Elephas maximus indicus: one gene and its partners. The protein of the gene in region 1 interacts with the protein of each later gene in a pairwise test. Links are inferred from orthologs where the notes say so. Each region holds a gene or a part of one and is shown on either strand. Other genes may lie near its edges. The genes, in order: CCNDBP1, myelin P2 protein, AMPD2 and PSMB10.

What was found.
Region 2: the proteins of CCNDBP1 (region 1) and myelin P2 protein interact in binary tests that used the Homo sapiens proteins (3 or more experiments, as listed by UniProt). The two-hybrid records come from large-scale screens. The link is inferred for Elephas maximus indicus from reciprocal best matches to the Homo sapiens genes CCNDBP1 and PMP2.
Region 3: the proteins of CCNDBP1 (region 1) and AMPD2 interact in binary tests that used the Homo sapiens proteins (3 or more experiments, as listed by UniProt). The two-hybrid records come from large-scale screens. The link is inferred for Elephas maximus indicus from reciprocal best matches to the Homo sapiens genes CCNDBP1 and AMPD2.
Region 4: the proteins of CCNDBP1 (region 1) and PSMB10 interact in binary tests that used the Homo sapiens proteins (3 or more experiments, as listed by UniProt). The two-hybrid records come from large-scale screens. The link is inferred for Elephas maximus indicus from reciprocal best matches to the Homo sapiens genes CCNDBP1 and PSMB10.

Annotation. Positions count from the first base shown.
Region 1 is NC_064828.1:12,855,072-12,862,321, reverse strand, and holds the start of CCNDBP1 (cyclin-D1-binding protein 1), read left to right. Parts: upstream 1-4,231; 5' UTR 4,232-4,323; coding exon 4,324-4,432; intron 4,433-4,599; coding exon 4,600-4,659; intron 4,660-4,970; coding exon 4,971-5,050; intron 5,051-7,250. Other genes in the region: TMEM62 (transmembrane protein 62), read left to right, coding at 250-368, 3,143-3,469. UniProt on the Homo sapiens protein: May negatively regulate cell cycle progression. May act at least in part via inhibition of the cyclin-D1/CDK4 complex, thereby preventing phosphorylation of RB1 and blocking E2F-dependent transcription.
Region 2 is NC_064833.1:60,096,420-60,104,293, reverse strand, and holds the start of myelin P2 protein, read right to left. Parts: upstream 3,004-7,874; 5' UTR 2,967-3,003; coding exon 2,894-2,966; intron 777-2,893; coding exon 604-776; intron 397-603; coding exon 295-396; intron 1-294.
Region 3 is NC_064821.1:171,939,223-171,946,179, forward strand, and holds the start of AMPD2 (AMP deaminase 2), read right to left. Parts: upstream 3,011-6,957; 5' UTR 2,564-3,010; coding exon of another isoform or gene 2,496-2,563; coding exon 2,405-2,495; intron 1-2,404. UniProt on the Homo sapiens protein: AMP deaminase plays a critical role in energy metabolism. Catalyzes the deamination of AMP to IMP and plays an important role in the purine nucleotide cycle.
Region 4 is NC_064839.1:34,375,225-34,382,230, forward strand, and holds PSMB10 (proteasome subunit beta type-10), read right to left. Parts: upstream 3,004-7,006; 5' UTR 2,853-3,003; coding exon 2,797-2,852; intron 2,513-2,796; coding exon 2,425-2,512; intron 2,337-2,424; coding exon 2,239-2,336; intron 2,129-2,238; coding exon 1,988-2,128; intron 1,745-1,987; coding exon 1,629-1,744; intron 1,515-1,628; coding exon 1,456-1,514; intron 765-1,455; coding exon 613-764; intron 484-612; coding exon 372-483; coding exon of another isoform or gene 367-371; 3' UTR 309-366; downstream 1-308. Other genes in the region: LCAT (phosphatidylcholine-sterol acyltransferase), read right to left, coding at 4,502-5,058, 5,939-6,163, 6,248-6,343, 6,420-6,770. UniProt on the Homo sapiens protein: The proteasome is a multicatalytic proteinase complex which is characterized by its ability to cleave peptides with Arg, Phe, Tyr, Leu, and Glu adjacent to the leaving group at neutral or slightly basic pH.

The DNA of each region.
Region 1 (7,250 bases):
TACATGTCTATTCCCGGTGTAGCTTTTACAACCCAGAGAAATATGGAGGAAGGGAGCAGATACTTAGATGGATAGTTAGGACATCAGATGCAACACAGAGATTAGCAAAGAAGAAAAGCCTGGCAAATAAAATGCTTATAGATTTAAGTAGTCTCATATCTTTTCATTATTCCTGTAATGCATCTCATAGATGTATGTAATCAGAGTCATAATTATATAATCTCCTTTCCTATCCATTGCCTCTTTTAGGACCATGGTTTGTTGGTGAAATCATTACAGGCAAATTGGGTTGCTGCTTTTCTTTTGGGATCTTTGTTGATGGACATTTCCTACAAGGCAGCTTAACATTTGTAGTTGGAATTCTCCAGGTAAGAAGTTGGAAATGCAATTTAAGAACATCTTGGCCTTGTTGGACTAATTGCATTACAGTTATGAATTACCCCCCAAATCTGAAATGAAATGCTGTGGATCATCTTTCCGACTTTGCAGTCAGGGCAGTCTTTAATAACTGGTGTTCTGTTTGTATTTAGAGTGCTTCCTAAGTGCTTTCTTCCACCACTCTCTTGTAAACATCTAAAATAGATTTTTGGAAGGCAGGATTTGTAAGAGGTGAAAGAGATTTTTGTTGCTGTTACTTGTTTCATTTTGCTTTTTCATTGACAGAAGATGAAATAAGGGTCTAATAGTAGAATAAATGATAGAGTTCACACTAAATCAAAATTGATTATGATTAATAAAGAACGAAAATGTTTCAGGAAGAAGAAAGTAAAAATAGACACACAAGAAAAGTGGCTTATTTATCCAATGGAAATGGCACTGGGCAAAAACGAGACCTGGGCTTTCCCATGGTGTCTTAGCAGGGTACCTGCATGGGAAATGCTGATAGATTAGGTATACATTTGGATTAAGAGTCCTTTAAAACACACAAAGAGCCCTGACCCATAGCAAATCTCCATAAACAGATTTCAAAAGTATTTACCTAGTTCTTTATTTTACTCATCTGATGGCGCTAGACCAACAAGCCAGACCTGGTGGCTCAGTGGTTAAAATGCTTGACTGCTAACCAAAAGGTGGCAGTTTGAACCTACCAGCCGTTCTACCTAGCGGTCTGCTTCTGTAACAATTTACAGCCTTGGAAACTCTATAGGGCAATTCTGCTCTGTCCTACTGGGTCACTAGGAGTCGGAATCAACTCAACAGCAGTGGGTTTGGTTTTTTGTTTAATGAGGTAAAACCAAACTCGTTGCCACTGAGTCAGTTCCAAGTCACAGCAACCCTATAGGACAGAGTGGAACCGCCCCACAGGGTTTCCAAGGAGTGGCAGGTGGATTCAAACTGCCGACCTTTTGGTTCGCATCCGAGCTCTTAACCACTGTACCTGGACCAGAATCTGAGGTGGTAATCTGAAGTTTTGGAAGAGATCAAAAAACATGGTTCACAATGAGTTCAAAGCCTCATACCAGGGCAGTAAAACAAGATGAGCAGGATTGGAGACAGTCAAATAGGCAAGACCTTGGCCTAGCAAACACTGAGCCTAGGCTAGAACATTCCCTGCATGGCAGCATTGTATATGTGAGAAGGTCCTAGGTCCAGTTTAGTTTCCATTATGTAGATGGAGGCTGGATCTCGGGAGCACTCTTTTACCAAGTAAAACCAGAACTTTGCCAAAAGACTTCTTTCTCTTTGTAAATGTTTACATTCATAGTTTAATAAATAGTACACTAATAAATGGATTTTATGCATCATACAGGTTCATGACTCCCAAATCTGTATCTCTGGCTTAGACCTCTTCTCTGCAGTTCAAGTGCCTGTATATTCGACTGTCATTTCAGATCTTCCCTTAGATGTCTAACAGACATCTCAATATTATGTCTCTAATAGAACCTTTAATTTTCATCCCCAAACCTGTTCCTCTCTTGGTTCTTTCCAATTTCAATAAATGGCGCCACCATTCATCCAGTTTCTCCAGGGTGTATCCTCAGTTCTTCCCCTTCCCTCATGTGCTATATCTAGTCCATCAGCAAGTTGTACCTTGTTTGGTCTACCTCCAATATACACCGTGAGTCTATACACTTCTCACCATCTCTGCTGCCACCAACCTAGTCATAATTATGGCTTCCCTGGGCTACTATACTGACCCCTCACTGCTCTTCTTACTCCTGCTCTTGCTCCCCTACTGTCAGTTCACCACAAAGCATCCAATGTGATCTTTTTAAGACCTGAATCAGCTCACTCACTTCTCAGAGTATAACCCTTTAAGCAGAGCAGTGACATTATCTGGGCCCTACTGTCTGCTCCAATCTACACCTGGTTGGTCATTCTCCAGACACATTGGCCTTAAAGGCCTCCCCCACCTTTGGGCTTTTTATTTGTTCCTTCTGCCTGGAATGCATGTCCCTCCACTGATTCATTCCTGTCCTCAGGCCTCAGAGAGGTCATCTCCCAGTTACTTTCATGACCAGTTCTTTCTTTCATTGAACTTACCACAACCAGTTATCTTTTTTTTTTTTCAGTCTCTCTTCTCCCTGTTAGAATGTAAGCTCCATAGTGGATCTTTTCAGACTTGCTCACTCATGTGTCCAAAACTGAGAGCGTAGTACAGTGCCTTCCACATAATGAGTGCCCAGTAATTACTTTTTGAATAAATGAATGAATCGTAACAGCACCTAAGCTTGTATTAAAGCTTCTAATTTGTATTCCAGCACTCATGCCGCCTCAAATAGAGATAAGGAAAAAAAATACTGATACCCAAGTTCCCATCAACCAAAAAAAAAAAAAAGTTAGAGCCTATATATATATATATATATGTGTGTGTGTGTACACATGAGTATAAACACACACATACACATACTCAATTCAACTTAAACTCTATTGAGTATCTGCTGTTATGTGGTAGTGGAGATTTCAACATAAATGACACCTGCCTTTAAGATGAACAAAAGGACACAGGCAAATACAAAACTAACTATAGTATAAGTGAACTGTTGTATAATATGCAAGTGATCAAAGGAGAGAATCAGAGAACTAACTAACCCCAAGAGAAAAGGCAACATTCTTGGGAGCTACCAATAATGTATTAAGGATACCTACCCCTCCAAGGCGTGGTAGAAAGCTAATGGTTCTCCTCTGCTCCTCTTTGCAGCTGGTGTTTTTTAACATCCCCTTGATGACTTACCTGTCCTGGAGCTTGTTGCAGCGGTGCTTTGGTCACAACTTCAGATCTCATCTCCACCAAGGAAAATACTTGAAAATTGTACCTGTTCACCTACTTATGCTACTACTGTACGTTTGGCAGGTCTACTCCTGCTACTTCCTTCACGTGACGTATGGCACCCTAGCTTTTTTCTTCTCCCCTTTGCGGACCTGGTTGACACTGCTGACACCCATTCTCATTCGTTGTGTGTGGACACTGAACCCCACTGAGCTTGGAACCTTCATTGTGCAGTTAAAAAGCCACCTGAGCTCCTGAAGGCCATGCCTCCCCATGAGCAGCTGGGCCCAGCTCAGCTCCACCTCTAGTGAAGCAGGTGGAGAGCCAGTGCTGGTGGCAGAGCTTCGTGGAGCTGCAGCTTTTTGGACACCTGGGAGTTAAAGGGACTACCCACTACTGATTGCTGCAGAATGGACTGGAGGAAAATCTCTAATTAATGCTGTGATTTCTTTCTTCCTCAAGAATGCAAAAGGTTGATTGACCTTTGTGAAGAGAAAGCCCTAATCTAGGAGATCCTCAGGGTGGATCCACAGGCTGGGTGTATGTATGGGAGCATCTGAGGCCCAGGGTGTTTACGTTACCCCACATAAAGCACCTAGTACAGTGCTTGGCACTCAGCAGTTGCCAGAGGTGCCACTTCAGGGGCAGGGAACTTGGAACTTGGACCTGACCCTAACTGCCCTTCAGATGTTAGCTCCTAGCCCTGTTTTCCTGCAGGGTTATGGTTCTCAGCTTCCTTAGTCGGGGGTGTTTTCAGTTAATCAAATAAATGAATGAATCAATGAGGAATCAATATGGCTCTTGCGTGTTGTGGCCTGGCCTTAGGCGGGGAGGGGCGGGCGCGGTTTAGCATCAGGCAGCGGGAGGAGGCGTGGCCTGGCGCCTGGGGGCGGGAGGAAGGCGGGGCCTGTCTTCGGAGAGTGACTGCTGACGTGGACACGTGGCTCGGCCTCTGAAGTGATAGGGGCGAGGCAGCGCTCCCGGGGCGGGGCGTGAAGGGTTGTTGCCGGAAGCGGACCTCAGTTTGTGGCTCCCGGAAGTGGGGTGGCTTCCGCAGTGCGTCTCTGGTACCGGCGGTGGCGACGTTTGTAGTCACCAGGCAAGCGACTGAGATGGCAAGCACAGCTGCCCCTGCAGCCGCCTTCCCCACCCTGGCTCCGCCTTTGGAGCAGCTCCGGCACTTGGCAGTGGAGCTGCGGTCGCTCATGCCTGGAGTGCGGGGTGAGCTGACGCCGTTGCGGGGCGATGACAGGCGGGTTGGGACTGGGGAGAGAGCAGGCTGGGGCGGTGGCGGCGGTCGGGGCGGAGGAGGTGGGGGGCAGAGCTGGCTCCGCTTACTCCAGCTTTTCTTTTGCCCCCGCCCGGCCCCCACGCGCCACACCCACAAGTCGGCGAAGCGCAGGAGACCACCGAGGAGTTCAATCGGGAGAAGTTTTGGAGGAGACTCAGTGAGTGCTAGTCTTGGCGTCCCCATCCCTTACCTCTTCCGTTTATCCTTGGGCCCTTCTGCACCCTGAGCTGCGTCCCAACCCCTTTCCCTCCCACTCTCCCTCAGGGAGGTGACCACGCTCCCCCGCCGTATCCTCAGCGTGGGGGTACCTCTCCTTACCCTTCCTCGGCAGTGATTTTTGGAGGTGTTTTTGAGACGCCTCAGCCGGCAAGGGTGAAGAGGGAACGCATTGTCTTTGACGTCTGCGAGCAGCTGCAGCCTTGTTTTGGCACTAACACATTGGCACCTGCCTCCTCTTCCACCCTGCAGACGAGGCGGCTGTGAAAGTGGCCAGCGAAGCCACGACTCTGACCACAGCCTTCTCCAGACTTCCGCTGCCGTCTCCACAGGTGGGCTTCACTTCCCCAGTTTCCTTGTGCTGCCTCCTTCCCACCTTTTACACTCAAGCCAGGGGACTTAATTCCCTCATCTGCCAAATGGGATTACAGTTCTTACCTTAAAGGATTGTTGTGAAGACCAAATACGGCAATGCGCGTAAAATTGCCAGGTGCGCTACATGGTGGGGAGTAGACAGGTCTTCTAAATATTGGTTCAATTTAAAGTCCAGCCTGGTTCGTTCATTTCTGATAACTTTTTTAAAAAAGCACTTACAGCTTGCTGGGTGTTTTCACATACATAGCCCTCCTCCGACAGATGAACAAGCAGGCTCAGACGCTCATGTTAGGGTAAATAAGCAGTGAGGCCGGGATTAAGTTGGGGTCTGTCTGTTGTCAAAGCTACATCTTTTCTGCTGTACTACATAAAACCCTTTTTGAATTTTTATTTTATTGTGATTTAGGTGAAAGTTTACATAGCAAAGAGTTTTTCATTAAATAATACGCATATTGTTTTGTGACGTTGGTTGCCAACCCCACAATGTGTCAACACTCTCCCCTTCTCCACCCCAGGTTCCCTGTTTCCATTCATCCAGTTTTCCTGAACTATTTTAATTTTTTATACTGAATTAGTAACATGTATATGGTATGAAATTAAAAAGATATCAAAGTATGCTAAAATGTTTATATCTCACAACTCCAGTTTCTCGTTTTTGCCTCCCCCCCAGTTCTTTTTGTATTTTTCCATATTTATTCTGTGCATATACACATTCATGTACACATGCTTTTTACACAAATGTAACTTGTAACTATAACGAGTGCTGTGGTGAATTACCTGGTACAATCTGTGTGTGCGTATGCATATTGGTAGAAAAAAAATTCCCAGAAGTGGCATTACTAGAACAAAGAATTATACACTTTAACACTTTATTATATTATAAAACTAATGAAAATAAACATGTAGGCTGGGACCAGGTATGCCCAGTTTTTCTAGAGCTAAGTATGCCTATTTGGGGGGTAAGATTATTTAAAAGTGGCATACTCATTGACTTACTTCATTCTCATGGTCAGTAGTTTCAGTCTCCGATGCTTTGAAATGATACATTCTTTCACTGAACCCACAATGATAAACCCCCTCCTCATACCTCAGAGATCTGTGTTGAGGAAACGGGATGACTCGGAGTACAGCACTTTAAAAGCTTCGTGGAAGAAAGTCAATATTTCTATCAAAGGAACTAGCAGTATTACCTTTTTTCCTCTTATATGCAGATTCCTTTCTTTCATATACACTTAGGACTTGCCAAAATTCATAGCTAGTAAGATCCCATGAGGAGGCAACATAGAACTATTTTTCTGTACATGCTCAGTACAGTGATTTTACTCATGGGTGAAAATTTAAATTTAGAATTTGGTTTTATTTGAACGACATATATAAGGAATCTCAGCATCTTAGTCCTGTAGTTTAAAATACACTGAATACTGATACACTGAAAACTACGGAGTTGAATGAGCTCTCGTGGTTTTGAGCAGCGATCATTCAGATGAGGAATATCACCCATTATGGACTGATAGATATTTTTAGAAAACTGTGTGCTTGGATGTTACACAATGTCAAATTGCCATGAAAGTGCCTAAATACTTATTCTCAATCACTGTATTTATATCATCCTGGACTGGTAATAAACAGTTTGTGGATTGGCACCAACCTGTGGGCCACACCTGGCATAGCACGGGCTTAGAACTTAGCAGATTAAGTGAAGACAAGGAAGGTAGGAGAAAGCCAGTGACTGCTTTAGAGGAAGAGAGTCAACATTGAACATTGCTGAGTCCATGTGATTCTATTAAAACAAAGGAGAGAATGAGGGTGGGGAGATATAATGGTCTAAGACAGGAGTTGGCAAATAGTAGATAATTGTGTTCCAGTAATACAGTGAAACCTGTCAGAGCCAGAACTCAACAGGACTGCCTTGTTTTTCTAGGCCTTGCAAGTTTTCTGCCTTTCACAGGGTGCAGCCTTACCACTTTTCTCTCGCTTGGTTTATTGGAAAAAAATTGAGTTTTCCTCTCTGACAGGTTTCCACCTTACACAGGTTCCAGCTTTTGCAGGTTTTACTGTACTTTACTTACAAAACTTGGCAGTAGGCTTGATTTGGCCTGTGGGCTATAGTTTGCCAGATCTTGGTCTAAGATATGGTGAGTACTTCACAGCAGATCA
Region 2 (7,874 bases), on another chromosome or scaffold:
TTCTCTTTGTGAATCAAAATTAATGAAATTTATCCATACTTTCTTTAACTTTACTACCTGATTTAGGCCTTTATTATGTCTAATATCTTGGGCCACTACTTCAAGTACTTCAAGATGAGAGTCTTTATGGTTTAAATATCACCTAGGCATTTTTTTTTTCTTTAACTCTGACTTTATTCTTAGTTATTTTTATCCACTTGTATTCCTAAGAAAAAAGAATATTTAGAAAATAATATAACTAGTTTTCCTATGTGAATAACATTCTTCTGTATTCAGAAGTGAAAACACTCTTACCACAACCATTTTTCCGTCCACTAACTTTCTCTTTATTGTTGTCTCTTTGCCATCCCATTTCTGTACGTGATTCAGTGAGCCTCTCTCCAAGGTTACAATGCTCTGTAAAGACATGTTCACATAATTGGCCTGCGTGGTGTCTAGTTGATAAAAGAAACAAATCATTGAATATTGAATCATTTTCATAATGGAAGTCTCATGTGGCACGTTAATTCTAAAAGGGAGTCTACCTTTTGGAACACTAGAAGGAATAATACTTTCTCTCAAACAGTAGACTGAGCAAACTTTGCAAAGACCTTTAAAGCTTACCTTTGTTTTCCTATTATCAGCTGTGGTTTCTTCAAATTCCTGACCTAGCTTGAAGGAGATCTCTGTATTTTTAAAGGTACTTTCTGTTCTTATAGTTATAATGTCCCCTTTCTTGCTGATGATCACTCTGGGCTTGGCCAAATTTCCCAGTTTTCTGGTGGCTAACCCCACACCTGAAAAATCAAGATAGTGTTAGAATTGTGTTGACTGAGACAACATACCAGGAGAGATCATGCATAGCCACATTTTGTTCTCATTTGTGTCTCAGGTGTCAGATGACAGGCAATATGGCTTATTACTGAAGGTCTTCCCCATATTTCATCAGTTAATAAAAATGCATGTCCATTGTAACACTTGAAGATTTTTGAAGAGACCGTTCAGCCTAAATCGTACAAGTTGTACATTTTTTCCATATATGGCCCCACTTACCATTGAAAATCACTAACTGTAGTTTTGTGCAGATCATTTTAGTTGGGGAAAACAAATATTATAGATATATAATAGGTATATGTTGAAAAGTGAAACCATGACATATACACACACTGTTCTGTGATATTTTTTCCCCTTGTCATATATTATGGGTATAGAGAACTCTCCCATCATCCATGATAGAATCTCACTTCGTTTTTTTGTGTGTGTGTGGCTTCCTAAGTCTCTCTGGTTGGAAAAAAACTCTCCATCTAGCCTCAAGATATATACAGTTGGAAATGAACATAGATAAATCAAATTATTTTTAAAAAGCCTGCATTTGAAAAATAAAACAAAAGTAAACTTGTGTTTTCTTACTATTATTACACAAGACTACAGAAATCCATGGAAAAGGCAAAATGTCAAATGAGAAAAATACATAAAAGAAAAACTAGTTTCCCAAGCCTCCTAAGGCTCCTGTTATGGAAACCCTAGAGGTGCAGTGGTTTAGAGCTACAGCCGCTAACCAAAAAGGTTGCCAGTTCAAATTCACCAGGCCTTCCTTGGAAACCATATGGAGCAGTTCTACTCTGTCCTATAAGGTCGCTATGAGTCAGAATTGACTCAACGGCAAAGGGTTTTAAGGCTCCTGTTGGAAGTCCCAATGCTTAGATTTACTTCCCCCTATTAAAAAAATATAAAAAAAAAAATATATATATGCTAAAAAAAACTTGAAGAGTTACAGCTCATAGGAACTATGACTCAAGTGTTCTTCTAATCCTGGTTAAGCTTTTGTTATTTCATGTGATATAGGAAAGCATTTCTCCAATTAAATCAGAATCTCTGGATTAGAGCCTGAGAATCTGCATTTAACAAGTTTTCTTGTGAACTCTAAAATTTGGACACAACTGAATTAGGAAGTCTCTTACTGAGACTGTCTTATACTTTGCTTCTTCCTCAGCTGCAAAATGAAGTCCATAAATCTAATCAACCTCACAGTATGGCTCTATCCCCAAAAGCTTTCATAGCTTTCCAGGCAACAAAGACATGATTTTGCTCATTTTACCTAAAAATAGAACCTCTTGGATAAACTTTCTGAACAGGTAAGTAAAATTACAGGCACTTTGACAAGCATGGCAACCCAAGGTCATTGGCATCACTTTTACATTTATACAGCTCTGAAAATTTCCGAAGGGTCTTCACATCTGTTGTGTTCAAATATGTGGACCATTCGCTGGAAATAGTATAAAATAAAATTGATGTTAACTAGTGACTGAGTCTTCAACCGTACCAACTACTCTAACTCTCTCTCAGTAACTCCCTTAGGCTATGAACTTCCTACTTTTGGAAGCATTTTTTTCTTCTTCAAACTCTCTGTATCTATGTGAGTATGTAATAATGGACAACCTAGAAGTAGAGAGAGGAGACTAAATTTTAGTTAAGCTAAACATCAAAATTTAAAATTGGAACTTCCGAGTATCTTCAATATACTGAACTTTATGAGCACATAAGTTGCTATAAAACTAGCTATTAGAAAAACCTGGGAACGGGCTGACTAAGCTTCTAAAATTTCTGTCCTCTGGTCTGAAACCAAAGCCTGATTGATATGGAACTGCAGTTGAAATCAGTGGGGATCTCATGCACTTAAGCAGCTCTCTTAGGTTAAAACCTAGTAAAATTGCCACAAACAAAATGCAAATAAATTAGTTGAATGACCCAACAGAATGTTAACCCCTGAAGACGATGGTACTTCAGCCTATGCATACTTCCCCAGACTCCTGGAAAAGGAGTTAGAAGGAAATAATCATCCAACTTTATCCAAAAGGATCTTCTAAAAAAAAAAAAAAGATCTCAGCCAAAATTACAAAGAACAATTTCTTACCCAGAGCTTTCATGTACTCATCAAAGTTCTCACTGGAGACAAGTTTCCAGGTGCCCAGGAATTTTTTGCACATTGTGGTGGATGACTGTTCACCACAGTTCTAGCTGGGACTCGGGAGACTCAAGTGAGGTGTCCAGGCTCATTTCAAGATTCTTTTCAAAGATGCCCCAAACATGTGACTCTCACAGAGACCCAATGGGGAAAGGCAGTGTCAGGACTGGGCAATGAATGGCTCTTCAATCATCAGCTGCCCATTCATTAGGACAAAAGATAGCCCCACATAATGCCGCCTCTGTCTTTTTTATAAAAATTATAAAAATGAATGAGAGAGCTATTTGAACCTTCAAAAAACATTTGGTTGACTTTATATTTATAAGAAGTGCTTGGGTTCTTAATGCTTTGGAAAAGACTCCATGAATTAAATCCTATGCCAGGCTAAATTGTGCCAGTATCAGTGAATGTATGTATGTCTCTGTGTGCTTAGGCATCTTGGTCACTCTCAATCTTGAGTTGGCACAATTAGGAATTCTTATTAAAAGGGAAAAAAGAGGAAAAATGACCATGACTATTGTGATAAACTCCTCAAATATGGTGTGGGAGAGAAATGCAAGGGAGCAGTGTGAGGAAGTATTCATAGGTAAGGGAGGCTTGACATAGTTCACATATCCAGGCAGGCAGAGTAGGCAGACAATGAGGTCGGTCTATTGCAGTAGAAGACAGAAATTCTATTCATGTATCCGGACAAGGAGTAGCACTATGACATGCTCTTTGGCCACAGCAAAGATTTTCATCTATCAAAAAAAAAAAAAACCTTAAGTCATAACTAAGCAGCTTTTAGTTAATTTAACAATGTTGAGTTACTTAAGTCATTTTAGATAAATCTAATGTTTTACAAAGAGAAAGGATTATCAGTAATAACAATGCTAACGTATACTGAGAGCTCATTATGTGCGAGGCACTGTGCTAAGTGCTTAATACACACTATCTCATTTAATCATCACAGTTAACTCCAAGAGTTGGGTGCTATTATTGTGTCAGTTCTACCAATGAGAAAACCAGAGCCCAGCGAGTTTACATCATTTGCTCAAGATCCCAAGACCTGAATGGGAAGAAGCACAATTTGAACCTGGCTTTGTGCCCCAGAACCCAGAATCTGAACTGCTCTCTTACACTGCTCCCTGTCCACCATACATGCACAGAGGCCCCAGCCAAAGAATAGGTTACCCTGGCATCACTATGACTAGCTAGAGACACTCATTCTCTGCTCACTAATCAAGAAAGGTAAAAATCAAGAGCTGAAGCCGCCAGGCTGTTATGGTGCGCCAGAGTGCCAGGCTTGACCAGGGGGACTAGCAGGTTTTCAATGTTAGCTTTAGTCATGGCTATGAGACAACTGACATTACCAGGGTTTTACATTTATTTAATGTCATATTTTACATATTGACTTCTCTGTTTCCCTATTTTTGGTGTTTCAGCTTTAATTTATTTGTGACTTCCCTATCTTGGTTGCTATCTGGTGGTTCTGTCCTGTGTTCTAGTCTTGGGTTGTTATATGAGATTGATTTTCTAACTGGAGGACTCCTTTTAGTATTTTTTGCAATTTTGTTTTGGTTTTTGCAAATTCTCTAAACTTCTGTTTATCTGGAAATGCCCTGATTTGTCCATCATATTTGAGAGTTAGTTTTGCTGGATATATAACCCTTGGCTGGCAATTTTTTTTTTCCTTCAAAGTTTAATATATGTCAACCATTGCTTTATTGCCTGTATGGTTTCTGCTGAGTAGTCCAAGCTTAGTCTTATTGGCTCTTCTTTGTAGATGACTTTCATTTATCCCTAGCTGCTCTTAAATTCTCTATCTTCGGTTTTGGCAAATTTGATTGTAATATGTCTTGGTGACTTTCTTTTGGGATCAACCCCTTGTGTGGGGTTTGATGAGATTCTTGGATAGATATCTTCTCATCTTTCATGATATCAGGGAGATTTTCTGCCAACAAATTTTCAACAATTTTCTCTGTATTTTCTGTTATCCCCCCATTTTCTGGTACCCCAATCACTTGTAGGTTATTCCTCTTGATACAGTCCCCCATAATTCTTAGGGTTTCTTCATTTTTTCAAAATTCTTTTATCTGATTTTTCCTCAAATAAGTTGATATCAAGTGCTTTATCTTCAATCTCACTGATTCTGCCTTCCATTGCCTCATTCTGCTCCTATTACTTTCAATTGAATTGTCTAATTCTGAAATTTTACTGTTAATCTTCTGGGTTTCTGTTTGCTGTCTCTCTATGAATTCTTGCAGCCTGTTAAATTTGTCTTTATGCTCTCGTATAACCTTATTAACTTCCTTTATTGCTTTGTCTGCTTGTTCCTTGCCTTGTTCTGTGTTTTGCCTGATCTCCTTCCTGATCTCTTGAAGAGCTCTGTATATTAATCTTTTCAATTTTACCTCTGGTAATTCCAAGTTATCTTCCTCTGGAAGATTTCTTGATTCTTTGTCTTCGACACTTGCTGAAGCCATCATGGTCTGCCTCTTCATGTGATTTAATATTGACTGTTGTCTCTGAGCCATCAATAAGTTATTATATTTATTTATTTTATGTTTGCATACTGTGTCCTAGCTTCTAGTTTTGTATTGTTTTGATATGCCCAAATAGGCTGGTTGCGAGAGTTAGTTTGATTATCAAAGGTTTGAAGCTCTCACATCCTGTTGCCAGGTGGTTAGAGCTGTTAAAATGTATGTGAGCCAATGAGTCCACTTACTTTTCTTGTATGGATTCAGCTCAGGTGTCCAGGTAGTGGGTCACCAAGTGTGTGGTACAGGTTCTCACTTATATTTCTAGATGGGCAGGGGTGATTGAAGTAGGCACAGGTATCTGGCTGCAGTAGGCTTTAGTCATACACTGAGCAAGGCAGGGGGCTGACACCTCCCCTTGAGTGTCTGGGAGGAAAGCATGTCCCTGTTCCCTACAGCACATAGGTGGGTGGGTTTTGCAGCTGGATTATGGGCACCCAATGCTGTTGGCTGTAAGGACTAGGTGGAACCGCTTATTCTTGGGCCCCATCGCAGGTGGCTAGGTGGTGTGGGTGGAGTCACCAATCCCCAGGCCCCTGATGTGGGTAGGTGAAGGCCCTGCTTAATGGGTGGAGTGATGTCAAATGTCTTGAATCTGCCACTCCAGCTTATAGCTGATACGGTTGAAATTAGACTTCAGGTATATACCCTGTTGTACTGTGCTAATGAGGGCCTTCTCTGTTGAGATGGGCCCTCACAGTTCTATGCAGAGGTGAAAGGCATTCAAAGTCTATGGACCCCTTATGCCTGTGGCTAGGCAAAGGGGCTGTGTCTGCCCTGAGTTCCTGGCTTAGGGAAGCTGAAAGATTATTCTTTCTTGTTTGCTAATTTGTTCCCTCTCCAAAGCCAGGAAAATGGCTCAGCGCACGCGATGGGTCCTACTTCTGGCCCAGGGGCACAACAATCATTGAACCCAGTCCAGGACCCAGTGCAGAGTCGGCAGGTAAATGGGAGAGAGGTTCTTCCCAAAAGGGGTGTTTTCTGATCCACTTGGTAGGTTAGACACATGTACTTATCTTTTGCTTATTGAGTGCTGCTTTTCACTGGTTCTGGAGGCTCGAGTGGACTCTTCACCATTCAGCCTCTCCTGATGTGGAAAATGCGTCCTGTGTGTCACTGCTTGCCTTCCCTCGCATGCCAGGTGATCCAGCCTGCAGGGTGCCAGTTCCCGCTGGGTCAGGTCTGGCAGCTCCTTGCTGCTTCTGAACTTTCTCTCCCTCCCTCTGCCTCTAAGTCTGATTCCTCAACTTTGCCTTTGATGTTCAGGGCTCCTAGATTGTCATATATAATCGATTCACTTGTTTTTTGAGGTCTTTTTTGTAAGAGGGACCACAGGAAGCGTCTGAGTACTCTGCCGTCTTGGCCCCACCTCCCAGGTTTTTATATTTAGTACACAGGTTGGCACTTTTCACAGCAATGAAAATATCTCCTGGTCAATTTGCTCATAACAAATAGAATCATTGGCTTCAAGGTCTCAGCTTGCCAGTGTCATGCTGTGTCATAGCTATTGTAATTATGTGGTTAGGATACAAGCCAGGTCAAAATGCAACATTATATACTGTGGGCCCAAATCTCATCTTACATTACTAGTGCATGAATAACTTAAAGTGAGCATGAAACAATAAATAGAAAAATTCCTGAGCTAACCAGCTAACCCACTCCCAGCCCCAAGAGAATGTAACTGGAGGGGCATATTGAACTTGGACAGAGAAAACAGTTATTTTTTAAAAAGGGTTTTGATTAGTGAATGTGTGTTTCTTCTCCAAAACACTTTATAAAAATGAATGATGACTTCTGTGAAGGGTAAGAGAATTCACAATACTGGGGAAGCCAGCACAACTTTCCAAGGGAAGGTCATGGAAGCTCCATAGACACATACAAACTCCCTGAAAGACTGAATAATTGGGCTGAGGGCTATGAGGACCATGATCTCAGGAAACTTCTAGCTCAACTGGCATAACATAGTTGACGAAGAAAATGTTCTACATTCTACCTTGGCAAGTGGCGTCTGAGGCCTTAAAAGCTTGTAAGCAGCCATCAAAGACACTCTACTGGTCTCACCCCATCTGGAGCAAGGGAGAATGACCAAAAAAACCAAACCAAACCCACTGTCGTCAAGTCGATTCTGACTCATAGCAACCCTATAAGACAGGGTAGAACAGCCCCATACAGAGAATGAAGAAAACCAAAAACACAAGAGAAAGATTAGTCCAAATGACTGATGGACCGCAATTTCAATAGCCTCTATTAGACTAAGTCAAGCACAACTAGATGGTGCCTGGCTACCAGCAGTGACTTCTCTGACAGGGATCACAATAGAGGGTCCTGGACAGAGCTAGAGAAAAACCAAAATTAGACCAAAATTCTAACTCACACAAATGCATGGGTGCATACAAACACACACACACAAA
Region 3 (6,957 bases), on another chromosome or scaffold:
TCATATAACTGGACTATGTGAAGAAGAACATGGCATCAAGAATAAAGAAAAACTCAACAACCTGCAATATGCAGATGACACAACCTTGCTTGCTGAAAGCAAAGAGGACTCAGAGCACTTTTTGATGAAGATCAAAGACTACAGCCTTCACTATGGATTACATCTCAACGTAAAGAAAATAAAAATCCTCATAACTAGACCAGTAAGTAACACTACAACAAACGGAGAAAAGACTGCAGTTGTCAAGGATTTCATTTTACTTGGATCCATAATCAACGGCCATGGAAGCAGCAATCGAGAAATCAAACAACACATTGCATTGGGCAAATCTGCTGCAAAAGACCTCTTTAAAATGTTAAAAAGCAAAGATGCCACCCTGAAGACTAAGGTGCACCTGACTCAAGCCATGGTATTTTCAACTGCCTCATATGCACGAGAAAGCTGGACTATGAATAAGGAAGACCGAAGAAGAATCGATGCCTTGGAATTATGTATTGACAAAGAATACTGAATATGCCATGGACTGCCAGAAGTACAAACAAATCTGACTTGGAAGTGGTACAGCCAAAATGCTCCTTAAAAGTGAGGATGGTGAGACTCATTTCACGTTCTTTGGACATGTTATCAGGAGGACCAGTCCCTGGAGAAGGACATCATGCTTGGTAAAGTAGAGGGTATGCAAAAGAAAAAAAGACCCTCAATGAGATGGATTGACAGTGGCTGCAACAATGGGCTCAAACATAACAATGATTGTGAGGATGGCACAGGATCGGGCAGTGTTTCGTTCTGTTGTACATAGGGTCACTGTGAGTTGGAACCAACTCCACCATACCTAACAACAGCCCTGCCCCCAGGGTGTCGGGCAGAGCCAAAGGTCCTTGCTTGCCTAAGAACCCTGATCCTACATACCTGCTCCCCAAATACAGCCCCAGGCCACTTCCAACCCGCTCAAGGGGAGGCAGACCATAAACCTCATGGCTGTTCTGTTTTGGGTCAGCAATATGGGAGCTGAAGGCCCAATTCTCAGCCCCCTCTCCAAATGGGATAGCCTGGGGCCCCACAACTATCATGGGGGTGACAAGGACAGCCAGAGCCTTCCACAAACCTGCCATGGCACCGGGTGGGTAATCTCCAAACTCTGTGGGGCCAGGGCATAGAAGACTCAACTGCCAGCTGGGTCCCTTTTCCCAGTTCCTCTGCTGGAGGTTGCCGGTTACAGCACCACACACACATATACTCCCATACTCACAGTCACACAGGGGGAGGGTCAACCAAAGGCCAGAGGGGCCCAACCCCACCAGTCCATGCACAGCTACTCCCCAGCCACTCCCACTAACTCCAAGATCCTGGCCACCCATCTCCTCTCTTCACCAGGAGCCCCTCTCTCACTGCCAAGCGTGCTGAAGAGTACCAGATGCTCTCACCCAAGGTCTCTGGTTCAGCAACTGGTATAGATCTAGCCCCAGCGGACATACCTTTTGGATGGCAAAGAACTGGGCACAGATAAACATGACCCTCAACACAGTACAGGCCTCAGGCCAGGCATCTTCAGTGGCATACAAAATACAGATGGGAGATGTTCAAGCTATAGGTACAGGCACCTGCTGAGGGAGTTGGCTTGACCTTGTTGCCAAAATGGGGGTGGGTCCTTCCTCAACCACAAGGGCCTGGGGGCACCAGGCAGCAGGCAGACTCTATCCCTCAGCAGGCACAGGCCCAGGCAACTGAGCCTTCAGGGAGATCACTGCCGCACCGCACTGCCTGCTCCAAATGGTGCAGAGATGCTCCCAGAGTGGAAGCCGAACCAAAGGGTGCAGGAGCACACGCAGCACAGCTGCAGCCCCCGCTTGAACCCCCACACATGCCTGACTCATGGAACCCTATCCCCATGAGGAGGCTCATACACAGACCAGGAACGAGCAAACCATACAGCCACAAAGCTGAGCTTCCCAGCTCCAAGATGCCTGCCAGCGATGGTCTGCCCTAACGTCAGACCCCCAGCCAGTAGGTTCTGGGTCTGGGGTCCTAGAAAGCGGAGCTAGCTGCAGGAGGAAGCCTGAGCCTACCTGGGAAGGCACAGCCACCAGTCGGTGTGGCCAGTCGGAACACCACACACCCCCAATCCATTCACACACTCCACACACTGACACGTGTGCATACATACTTCTTGCTGCACCCACACCAACTCCTTGTTAACAGAGGACAGCATCCCCGACACAGAAACCTCAGTCACCCCCCACCCCACCATCCTATACACACGACCTTCCAAGCCAGCTGTTCCTGGGATCGAGGGGCAAGTCTGCAGAGTGGGTACCGGAGAAGGGGAATCCCTCTCTGAGGGGCCAGTGGTCTGGGCTAGAGGTGGTAGGGAAAGAGGTGCCTCCTGGCCGGGAAGCAGACTCACCTGGTACTGCGGCTGAGGCCTGCAGGCTGGCCCGCTTCTTAAAGGGATACTTGGCCTTGGGCTTGCTGGGGCCAGATGGATAGGATGCCATGGCTGGGGCCGCGGCGACAATGCGCGGGGAGCCTGAATGGCTCCGGCTGGGGCCTCGCTTTGCCACATCCAACCCTTTCCTACGCTCCGCCCCCAGCGGGAGTGACTGATGCAGGAAGCAGCGGCCCGGCGGGCGGAAGAGGCCCTGGCCATGATTTCTGGTGTTGTCTAGGCAACCTCGGGGAGTGGGGTCTCCATCCCGCCCCTTATCCCTCCGCTCCCTCCCCTCCTCAATTCCTGGAGTGATGTGACTGATGGTGGCCCGACTCGGGGGGTTGGGGGAAAAAGCCAGTCCCCAGCTCTCAACCCACCCCTCAGGAACCCTCACCCCTTGCCAGGACTCCAGGGCAAAGGAGCCAAAGTCCAGGTTGGCTGGTCCAGCCAGTCCCGGAGAAAAAAAAAAAACACGATCCAGTCCCCGCCTCCAAGCTGAGAACACGTTCCTCCCAAGGCAGGCGTACTGGGGCACTTCTCTTTGAAAACCTAGCCCCTCTGGGACAGAGCCCCCTTTTTTTCTCTATCTGATCCCCAGCTCCAGTGGTAGCCCAGGTCGGGAGGAGGGTGTGGGTAGAACGGAGAATCTCAGCCCGGTAAGGAGGGGCCGGTCTTGGGAAAATTCCACTGTCGGGCAGAAGCTACCCTCTAGGAAGACAGGAGGAGGGGGCTTGTCTGGGGGTCTGGGAAAGAGACCCCAGCTGCTTCTGACTTTTCCCTCTGTCTTTCCACACTCACGCGCTCCTTCCCTAAACCCCTCCCCCCCGCAGGGGGAGCTGATGGCTTCCCTAGGTTCTGCAGGCTGTGCTGAGACCCCCAACCGCCTGTCACCCTTGCCATCCCCAGGACCCTCCTCCCAACACACGCACACACACTCACCTGAGGCCATGCTGCCCAAGCCCCAAGGGGCACGGGGGAGGCTCCCCGCGAGGGTCTGCGGAGCCGGGAAGCCTGGGTTAGGAGGGAGGAGGGGAGGCTGGGGCCGAGACCCTCGTCAAGACGCTCCAAGGGCTCCTGCTCTGGCACTGAGGTGGAAGAAGTAAGGTAGCCTTTCAAAACTGCCAGCTAGCAGGAGGCAGATCCCGGCCGATCTCGGCGGCTGGAATGGCCTCGGGGGACCCCGGAGTCCAGGCCCCCAGCCCAGCGACAGAGGCGGGCAAGCCACGTGCTGCCCAGGGAGCGGGGCCTGGAACTCGTCCAGGCTCCTGAACACTCTCTGGGTACCAGGGTCGGGGCCGGCAGATGGACTGTGAGGGAATCACGCAACAGGTGCGACCCCGCCAAAAACCCGCCCACGCCTAGCCGGTCTTTGCGGCCCCAGGCCCCGCCCCCGCTCGGTCCGCCGCCGCCGGGCCAGCCCCAGCCCCACCCGCGCCATTTTTTCTCTTGCCGGCGCCACGTGGGCAGCGACCGCAGGGCTTGGCGACTTGGTTCCCGGGTCTTGGGCAAGTCCCTGAACTTTCCATGGGTCAGCTTCCTCATCAGTAAGATGGTAATAATAATCAGTAAGATGGTAATGGATGATAATAGTACGTCACTCAAAGGGGTATTGTGAAGATTAAAGATAAAGCCCATATTTGCACAGGGCCTAGCACAAAGCGCCCAATAAAAGGTAGCTGTTATCCCAGGATTTACTTTAAGCAGAAGTGGTAGCCCAGCATTCCCACTCTAGGTCATCAGCTTTTTTCTGACAGGCGTAGGTAGGGAGGGTGTGCCCTGCAATTCTGGCTCCCCTTTCCACATTTATTTCTGTATTTGGTGGTGACGAGCATAGGCTCTGTGGCCAAATTGCCTGGGTTCAAATCCAGGCTTCTCCACCCACTGCCTGACTGACGTTGGCCAAGTTACTTCTCTGTACTTCCATTTTCCTTGTAACATGAGTGTACAAGTATCTGAAGATTATTAGGATAAATGACGTAATACATGTAAAGTGCTCAGAACGGTGCCTGGCCTGTAGTTATCACTGTCATGTCTTTTACCTTGGTTCCCCTTCCACCCTCTGACACACTGATTCACCTTACCGCCTGTAAAGAAGTGAAGTTGGACGATTTGGGGAGCTGCAGGTACTCCATCCAACCAGCACCCCCACCCCCAAGTGGCAGACAAGGCTACCTAAAGGAAACTCGCGTGAGGAGGGATTAAATTCATATGACCTTGCTGAATATAATTGTGTTATCAGCAGTTACAACAGTTTCTTCTAAGAGAGGACAGGACAAGTTCCCGCTTGTGAGAGTCCTTTGCCCCCTACACCTACTTGTACTAATGCTGTCTATCCAGCTCCTCCCAGTTCTCACTACCACCACAGCCAAAGTCCTTTTTCCCAAACTCCCTCCCCCACCTGGCTGCATTCTGGACCCTGAACCCTGTTCTCTACCTGCATCTAGCACCGCCTCCATTGATCCCCTGCCTACTACTCCTCACGTCAGATAAACAAAACTCCATGGCCTCCATAACACAGAAAATATATGTTCACCTCACAAGGAATCAATGAAACAAAGAAATACTACCAAATTAGCAAGCATTAAGAAAAAGATAATCCAAATGCTGGCAAGGGTGTAGTTAGTGATTGATTTAGGAGATAATATTGGAGTCGTTTATTCCCTGTCCTAAAATGTGACCCAGCTGGAGCTAGACTCACAAGGACACATCAAACTGGGCCCTGAGGTATAAAGACAATAGCTAGGACAGTCTTAGAAAACATCTTTCAGGGAAACTTTCATATAAACCAATCATAAACAGAACACAAAAGTTCTGTTTCCACTAATCTTTTTCTGTTAGCATTTAGTGAATAGTAAGATTTGTCAGACCAATAAAACCTCCAGACTTTCCTCATTACTGAAACCTGTACTAAAGATTGTTAAGAAAGACAATTGGAAATGTAGAATTACTTAACAGTGTTTAGTCAGTCTGTGAAAAGGTGGAGCTTTGAAAGATTTTGCCTATTTTGTAAGGTCAATATATACTGATGATTCTGTTCCTTGGACTTGGGCAGACATGGCTCTGGCAGCGTGGTTGTGTTTTCCCATTCTTGCCTGTTACTCAGCAGATGTGGCTCTAGCAGCGTGCTTGTCCATTTCCCACTTTTGCATCTTGGAATGTATGCCAAATAAAGCTTTCTTTTTGCTTTACTAACATTGTGATGTTTTTACCCTACAACATGATTTAGGAGATAATATTGGAGCCATTATTCCCAGTCTTAGAATGTGACCCAGCTGGAGCTGGACTCACAAGGACCCACAAGGACACATCAACTGGGCCCTGAGGTATAAATACAATAGCTAGAACAATCTTGGAAAACATCTTTTAAGGAAACTTTCACATAAACAAATCATAAAACACAGCACAAAAGACCCATATACTTTCCACTCTTCTTCTATTAGCATTTAGTGAATAGTAAGATTTGTTGGACCAATGAAGACTCCCCTGTTGCTGAAACCTGTACCAATGATTGTTGATGAAGACAATTCAAAACGTAGGATTTCGGAGATTCAGCAGTTTCTAGCCGATCTTTGAAAAGGTGAAGCTTTCAATGGTTTTTGCCCGTTTGTAATGTTAATATATATTGATGATTCCATAACTTGGACTCAGACAGACATGGCTCTAGCAGCATTCTTGTGCATTTTCCCACTTTTGCTTATTCTGTAATATTTCCTCAGACTTGGGCAGACATGCCTCTAGCAGCATGCTTATCCATTTCCTACTTTTGTCTCTTGGACTATATGCCAAGTAAAACTTTTCTTTTTGCTTTACTGAACTTTGTGATGATTTTACTCTAGAATATTAGTGAGATGGGGCACACACATACACTACTGGCAGGTCTAAACATTGATATAATATCCCTGAAAGCCATTTAGCAATATGTAATCAAGAGTCTTAAAAAGGTTCATATTATTTGACCTTGAAAAATTGCTCTTAATAAAAAAAAAAAGGGGGGGGCCACATAAACCAGAGACTCCATCAGCTTGAGACCAGAAGAACTAGATGGTGCCTGGCTACCACCAATGACTGCCCTGACGGAACACAACAGAGAGTCCCTGATGGAGCAGTAGAAAAGTGGGGTGCAGAACTCAAATTCTAGTAAAAAGACCAGACTTAATGGTCTGACTGAGACTGGAGGGACACGAGAAGACATGGCCCCCCGACTCTCTGCCAGCCCAAAACTAAAACCATTCCCAAACCCAACTCTTCAGACAATGATTAGACTGGACTATAAGACATAAAATGATACTGGTGAGGAATGTGCTTCTTAGCTCAAGTAGACACATGAGACTATGTGGGTAGCTCCTGTCCAGATGCCAGATGAGAAGGCAGAGGGGGACAGGAGCTGGCTGAATGGACACGGGAAATACACGTAGAGAGGAGGAGTGTGCTGTCACATTACAGGGAGAGCAACTAGGATCACATAACAATGTGTGTATAAATTTTTGAATGAGAAACTGACTTGAATTGTAAACTTTTACTTAAAGCAC
Region 4 (7,006 bases), on another chromosome or scaffold:
GGTTTTACAACAGTCCCCAGTAGACTAGGGAGCAAGAGCAAGGTAGGGGAGTGGCAGAGGGGAGCCTCTGTGCTGTGGAGAGTCAAAAGCGAAGTTTTGGAGGCAACAAGATGTGAGCTTTCCACCTTCAACCTGCAGTGCTTGCCAGGGCTGGGTTCCTAGAGGGATGGGCACCTGAGGTGATAGGGAAGGGCGCTTTTAGAACAGGTGCTGGAGTTGTGGAAGGGATGGCTGCTCCAGGGACCCACTGGCCACCAGGCCCTGCTGGCTGCCTGCCCGTCTCTACCCAAGAACACCACAGCTCTCTGTTTAGGTATTTGCATTTTCTGGTTTTATTCTTCCTTGTTTCAAGCTCTGAGCCTCAGCTTACTTCACTCCACCTCCATGGCCTGAACGGTTTCCTCCAGAAGCTCCAGGGTCAGTGGCCTTACCATCTGGGTCAGGACAGGCGTGGTCCCAGGAGCAAAGTGGTACCTGCCCGGTCTGGAGACAGGGGGGCCAGCCTCTCAACATGGGCCCATAATGTGGCCCCATCCTCTCCTTGCAGGCCCCTGGCTTCCCTGCTTATCCCCACCTTAGCCTCCCCTGTATTCCCCACCTGCCTGTTCTCACCTCTTTATGGGCTCTGTGGGTGAGCTCAGTGTCCGCAGCAGCCTGGCACCAGTCCAGGTGATGACACATGCATCCACACTGCCCCCTGAGCCCAGGTCACCCAGGATCCCTGCAGTGATAGCTTCTACCAGGAGCCCCTGTGCATCCTCCAGCTGTGATGATGGATATTTGAGGCCTGATGTGCCCTTTTGGTGTCATGCTCAGGCCACAGCCTGAGGACTTTGGTAATTCCTAAACATTGACTATTTGCCATTCACTGCATCCAGTCTCTTCTCTCCCCTGACATCCCTCCTCCCTGAGTTTCAGCTTTCTTCTCTCCTAAGACCCCATGTTCCCTCTGCCCACTGTCACCTCTCTTTACAAGCTTTACAGAGCCGTCTATACTCGCTGCCCAGCTACTACCAGCCTGTCGCCACTCAACCTATTTTTAGTCCCAATGCATGAGCTCACTGCGTTTCCCTCCCTGGGCCTTAGCCACCTCTTTCAAGACATATATCATCTACTTTTTTTTTTTTTTTTCCCACCCCAAACAAAATCCACACTCCAGACTTCGTATAAGGCCCCACTGGCCGTCCCCTCCTCCCTCCGCTACAGTCAAATGAACCTCTCTTGAGCTTCGAATCCTCGGGACTGTCCAGCCTTTGGCACTGGCCGGTATTCTGTCTGGATGGCACTTACCCTTCACCCCACACTCTGCTCGTCCCTCAGTCTCCACTCAGAAGTCACCTTCTCCAAGAACCCTTCCCCAACCTCCACACCGGGCCAGCGTCCCTCTGGGCTCCCCCAACACCCGGATGCACTTCCCACCAGTGACTCCGCGGTGGGAGGACAGGGGTCGCTCACCGTCATATTCGGCTGGAACCGGTCCTCCAGCATTGCCATGGCCGCGTCCTGGCCGGAGCCTACAGGGGGAGAGGCATCTGAGATCAGCCGCGGCCGCCCAGTGGGGGAAAGGTGCAAACGAGAGGCCAGGGTCGCAGGGGCGGGGATCGTGGAGAAGGGACGCAAGCGCTCACCCAGGGCCGCGAAGGGCAGACGACTGTAGGATCCATGTGGATGCACGCTGTAAAGCTGCGGTCCTTTAACGTCTACACCCCCCACGATCAACGACGCGCCCACGTGACCGCGGTACCTGCCGACGGAGTGGGCGTCATCACCCGCAGATTTTGGAACCCAGACCCCGCCCCTCCATTCTAGTCCAGCCCCTCCCCGTGGTCCGGTGCCCCATGACTGTCATCGCTCCTTCCTGTTGACCGTCTCGTCTTAGGCCGGCCTCTTCCGGTCTCCCGACACCCCTCTCTCCTGCCCCACCTCTTAGCCCCGTCCTTCCCCTGACGGCCCGGTCCCCAGGTAGTCTTGGCCCCGCCCCCAGCACCGAAAGAGCGTCTGGCGCAGAACGCGGGTGACCGTGGCCACGCGGGGCTCGCGGCCCGTAGACAGCGCGTGTAGTTCCATGTTGGACGCCGCCATCCGCGTGGTCATCTGGGTGTCTGCGGCAACTCCAGCCCCACAGCAGCTGAGGGCGAAGGGAGGGCTGGTGTGGGTAGTGCTCTAATATGCAAGGGACGGGGCGTGGAGACGAGGGGTGGTTTTTGCGTGGGGGAACAGGGCTGGGAGGGTCCTCACTAGATTTTGGGGGCGATGAAGTGGATCTTCTCGCAGTTCTTGTCTGCCACGACCGAGTCGTTAGTGGCCCTCGTGTCCGCGCCCAGGATGACCCCGTCCTACGAGGATTGAAGGACCGCTGACTCAGTGTTCGGCCGGTCCCCCGGCCGCTGTTCCGGGTTCCCCCCAGCCTGCCCTCCCTCTCACCCGGAAAACAAGGCCCGCGATGGTAGTCCCGGTCTTGCGTGCATGAGGGGCCCGGAGCTCCGGGAGCAGGCGTTCTAAGGATGCGTTTCTGGAAAGGGAGGTGGTGGCCCGAGTTTCGGTTCTTCCAAGATTCCCCAACCCCAATTCTCCAACCCCCCAAGCCCGTCCTGGACTCCCTCTTCCTGGGGTAAGCCTGGGAACCGAGTCATGCCCATGTTTCCCCACCAGTACTACCACCAGGGGAAAAAAAACCCTGGGGCCCTACCCTCCGAAGCTCTTACGGCCGGATCGGGGCGGGGGGCGGGGGGCGCGGGACCAGCCCCTCCCATGGCGGGGATCGGCTGCGCGGGACCGGCCCCTCCCCACACACACCTCTGGCAGTTTTCGAAGGAGAAGCCCCCTCGGGGCTCCAGAGCTGGTTGCAGCATCTCCGGGCGGGCTGGGTGGTCCAGGAACTATAGGTCAATAGATCAGAGGAGTGGGGCGAGGCCGGTGGGAGTGAGACCGGCTTAGGGCTAGGGCGCAACGTCTGACGCTTCCTGCTTTCGTTTTCACCTTTCTTCAGAGGCCACTGGCCCCTTTCTGCATCGTCTTTCACTTTCACCTTCAGCCGGTTCAAGGCAGCTTGGGAATCCGGGGAAGCCCCTGCTCCCTGTGTCCTCAGAGCAGAGAGGGGTAAACCCCAGCTCCTCTGGCCATTGAACAGTTGAGCCTGTGTTGAGCTCCTCCTCCCCCTTCCAGTCTAGAGCCCAGGTGTGCCTACCCTAACCCTAACTCTAGCCTTAACTGCTAAGGCTGTCAGACCATGGACCAGATCCGTTTGGATTGTTACTGGCCTAAGGACAGCATCATACATGGCTCCATACCTTTCCGTGGTTAAAACCCTTCTACAGCTGCACTGCTATTCATAAGGTTTTCACTGGCTAATGCTTTTCAGCAGTAGACTGCCAGGTCCTTCTTCCTAGTCCGTCTTAGTCTGGAAGCTCAGCTGAAACCTGTCCTCCATGGGTAACCCTGCTGGTATCTGAATACTGGTGGCATAGCTTCCAGCATCACAGCAACATGCAAGCCCCCGCAGTACAACAAACTGACAGACAGGAAGACCAAAGAATTGACACCTTTGAATTGTGGTGTTGGCGAGGAATATTGAATATACCATGGACTGCCAAAAGAACAAATCGGTCTCAGAAGAAGTATAGCCAGAATGCTCCTTAGAAGCAAGGATGGCAAGACTGCATCTTACATACTTTGGACATGTTGTCAGGAGGGATCAGTCCCTGGAGAAGGACATCATGTTTGGCAGAGTACAGGGTCAGCAGAAAAGAGGAAGACCCTCAACGAGGTGGATTGACACAGTGGCTACAACAATGAGCTCAAGCATAACAACGATTGTAAGGATGGCTCAGGACCGGGTAGTGTTTCGTTCTCTTGTGCGTAGGGTTGCTACGTGTCAGAACTGACTCGATGGCACCTAACAACAACAGCTGCGCTCTGCTCTTAGGCTTAAGCCCAAGACTTCAGTGGCCCATGTTGACCTCATCCCTCTGACCTCAGCATTGGCACCACCTCCTCTGGGAAGCCTTCTTGACCCTCAAGGCTCAATCAGGTTCTTGTAGGTGACTCTTACTCCTCCTATACTTTTCTCTCAAAGGACTTAGCTCCATTTACAATTAACCCTTCATCAGGGAACTGATCTGATTAATGGCTGTCACCTCCCCACCAGAGTCTAAACTCTTGTGCTTCTGTCCTCCACATAGCAGGTGCTCAAAAGGCCCTGTCTAGAGGTGTCTTGCCCTTCTGGGTGCCGGCAGGGCCAGCTCTCATCTCTGTGCACCCCAGGCTCCATGTGCCCCCGTCCCATGCTGGGTGTACAGCTGGCTTCAGTCTCCATGCCCAAACAGTTCACCTGGAGAGTAGGTGCCTTGTTCAGTCCCAGTTTTATAGAGCCCAGCTTGCCCCATATTCCACAAAGCTTCTGGCCTTTGGCCGATGATGAGGGAATCCTGATGTGTGGACCCTAGTGTTTCCCCCTTAACCCACAACACACACCTTTGGGCTTAAAGCAGCAAAGGCAGGTTTATTCAGGGTGCAGGGACCTTGGGCTGGAGCCACTTCGGTAGGCGCCCTGCAGGATTGCATTGATATGCTCCAGCGTCTGGTTGCTGAAGACCATGTTTAGGTGCTGTATCCCGTGCAGGGGCAGCAGGTGCACAGGTTGCGGCTGACGACCCTTCCAGCGGCCACAGAGCTCAGTACTGCGTGTGGCTACTGTGTCATCACCATCCTCATAGAGTGCAGCCACAGGGTCCGTGTAGGGGAAGCCGTGGTCATAGATGTAGGTGTGAGGCGTGGGCAGGCCTACACCGTACAGACAGTACACTTCCACCCCAGGGGCTGGGAGCCCTGCCAGCAGGTCACGTGACTGTAGCCACATGTACCAGCCTTCCTCAAAGTGCATGTCCACAAAGAAGCGCTGGAAGTCACGGCCTGTGTAGTTGAAGCTGGGTGTGGAAATGAATATATGGTCCTCAGGCCACGCCAGGCGGGATGGAAACATCCAGGGGGAGGTGGTTGTCATTCGCTGCTCCTCTCTCAGCTTGATGCTGGACATGATTGGGATGCCCTGGTTGTCGCCTGTGGATATGGAGCAAGGTGGGCAGGAAACCAGGCTGGGCCACCCCTAACTCACATTCTGCCCCCAGCCCAGGCTCAGCTGGATCCTGAATCTTGTCACTGCCCAAAACAGACATCGGCTCCAAGCCATAGACCAGAACAGCTCTGGCATTCAGTAGGTGCTCAATGTGTGCTTATTAAACAAGAAGTCCTGATGGCACCTCTGTGTGGCCTCAAAAGGAAGGCAGGGAGGGGTGTCCTGAGGATGGGTGTGAATGATGGTGGGCTGGTAGCGCTGGTTCCTTCCCCTCAGACAAGTGTCTGTTGGACTCTGCGGCTTGTGCTACACAGGACCAGAGTTGTGCCTGGGAAGGAGGCAATGAGACCCTGTCTATTTGGCATTTATTGGTGTGATTACCTGATGCATGTCTGTTTCCCCCACCAGACTGTGAGCTTCTAGGGGAAAGGCTGAGTCTGGCTGTGCCCAACAGGTAGCAGTGATGTCAGTGCTGGGTCCCTAGTGCCATTCCTCAGGGAAGGGCAGGAGGGGCTCCTAGGGCCTGGCCCTTAGTAGGGCAGATCCCTGGGCAAAGGGGCTCTTGAGAGCAGAAGGCAGTTGAAAGCGGGGAGGGTAGGCCGTGGGGGACAGGGAACAACCTCAGGTTATGATTAAAGTTGCTGGGGGTTGCTTCCTCTGGGTTTATCTCCCCTTTGTCATCCCTGTCACTCTGGAAGGAACCATCCTCGTGGTCCAGGCCCAGCTCATTGCTCTGGGGTACCCATGCCAGGGCCCCAGGGAAAGGAGGCAATACTTCTAGAGGCCAGCCTGGGATGGCATCATGAACAGAAGCTGGAGTGGGGGCAGGCTTATGGTCAGGATGTGGGTAAACACGCCACTCACCTGAAGCCAGGACCAGCATGGGCTTGATGGAGCCACCCCAGGGGGCCCCAAGAGAGATGAAGCCATCGATGAATCGGTCCTTCCAGGACTGGGGCTGTTGCAGCAAGAAGTAGAGCAAGTGCAAGCAGCCGAGGCTGTGCCCGATGAGGAAGACGGGCTTCCCGTAGGCCGCATGCATCTCTTCCACCAGCCCAGTGAGCTTCTGGTAATACTCTCCCTGCTGACCTGCCGGTGGTAGGTGGGGTCAGGGCCTTCAGTGTCAGGGATCACTCGCCCCAGCCCAAGCCTGACACTCATAGAGACACTCACTGGGTTCCAGCCGCCAGTCATAGGGGGCAGCCCGCACTGTCTCATCCCGCACGTAGCCATTGTTGACTAGATTCTGCACCAGCGTGTGCATGTAACCTGTGGGAGCAGCAGCAGCATTGAGAGCTCTGGCTCTGGCTCCCAGAGCCCCTGCCCTTTTCCCCAATACACACACCTGCCAGCTTGTTCTTATCCAGGTACTCAACAGAGTATGTCTTGCCAAAGCCCGGGACACGGATCTGCACACCAGGGGCATTGGACACATGCCCAGAGCTTCGGTTGTAGACAACCCTGTGGGTAGCAGGACATTCAGCACGCCAATAGCCAAGGGCAGGGCATGAGGGCTGGGGTGGAGGGGATGGCATGCACCTGGTATTATCAATCCAGCAGTCCACTCCAAGGGGCAGGAACATATTGAGATCCAGCCAGATGGTGAAGAAGTCCTCTGTCTTGCGGTAGCACATCCAGTTCACCACGTCCGGTTTGTCCAGCTTGGCTTCTAGCTGATTCCCCAGGCAGCCAGGCACTGCGGGCACCGGACCCCTTGGATCCCTCATGGCCCCCACCGATTCTTAGCCCCAGATACTGCAGTCCCCAGCCCCACACCTAGGTCTCCCCTGCCCTCAACCCCCAGACACTTAGGACACTGATCTTCTTTCCAATTTCCCCTCCCCCTCCCCCCCAGTAGCCCAAAGCCTGGGCTCCCCTCAGGAGCAGAAGGCGCAGGGGCCAGGGTCATTGACCCCTGCCTCTGGAAAGCAA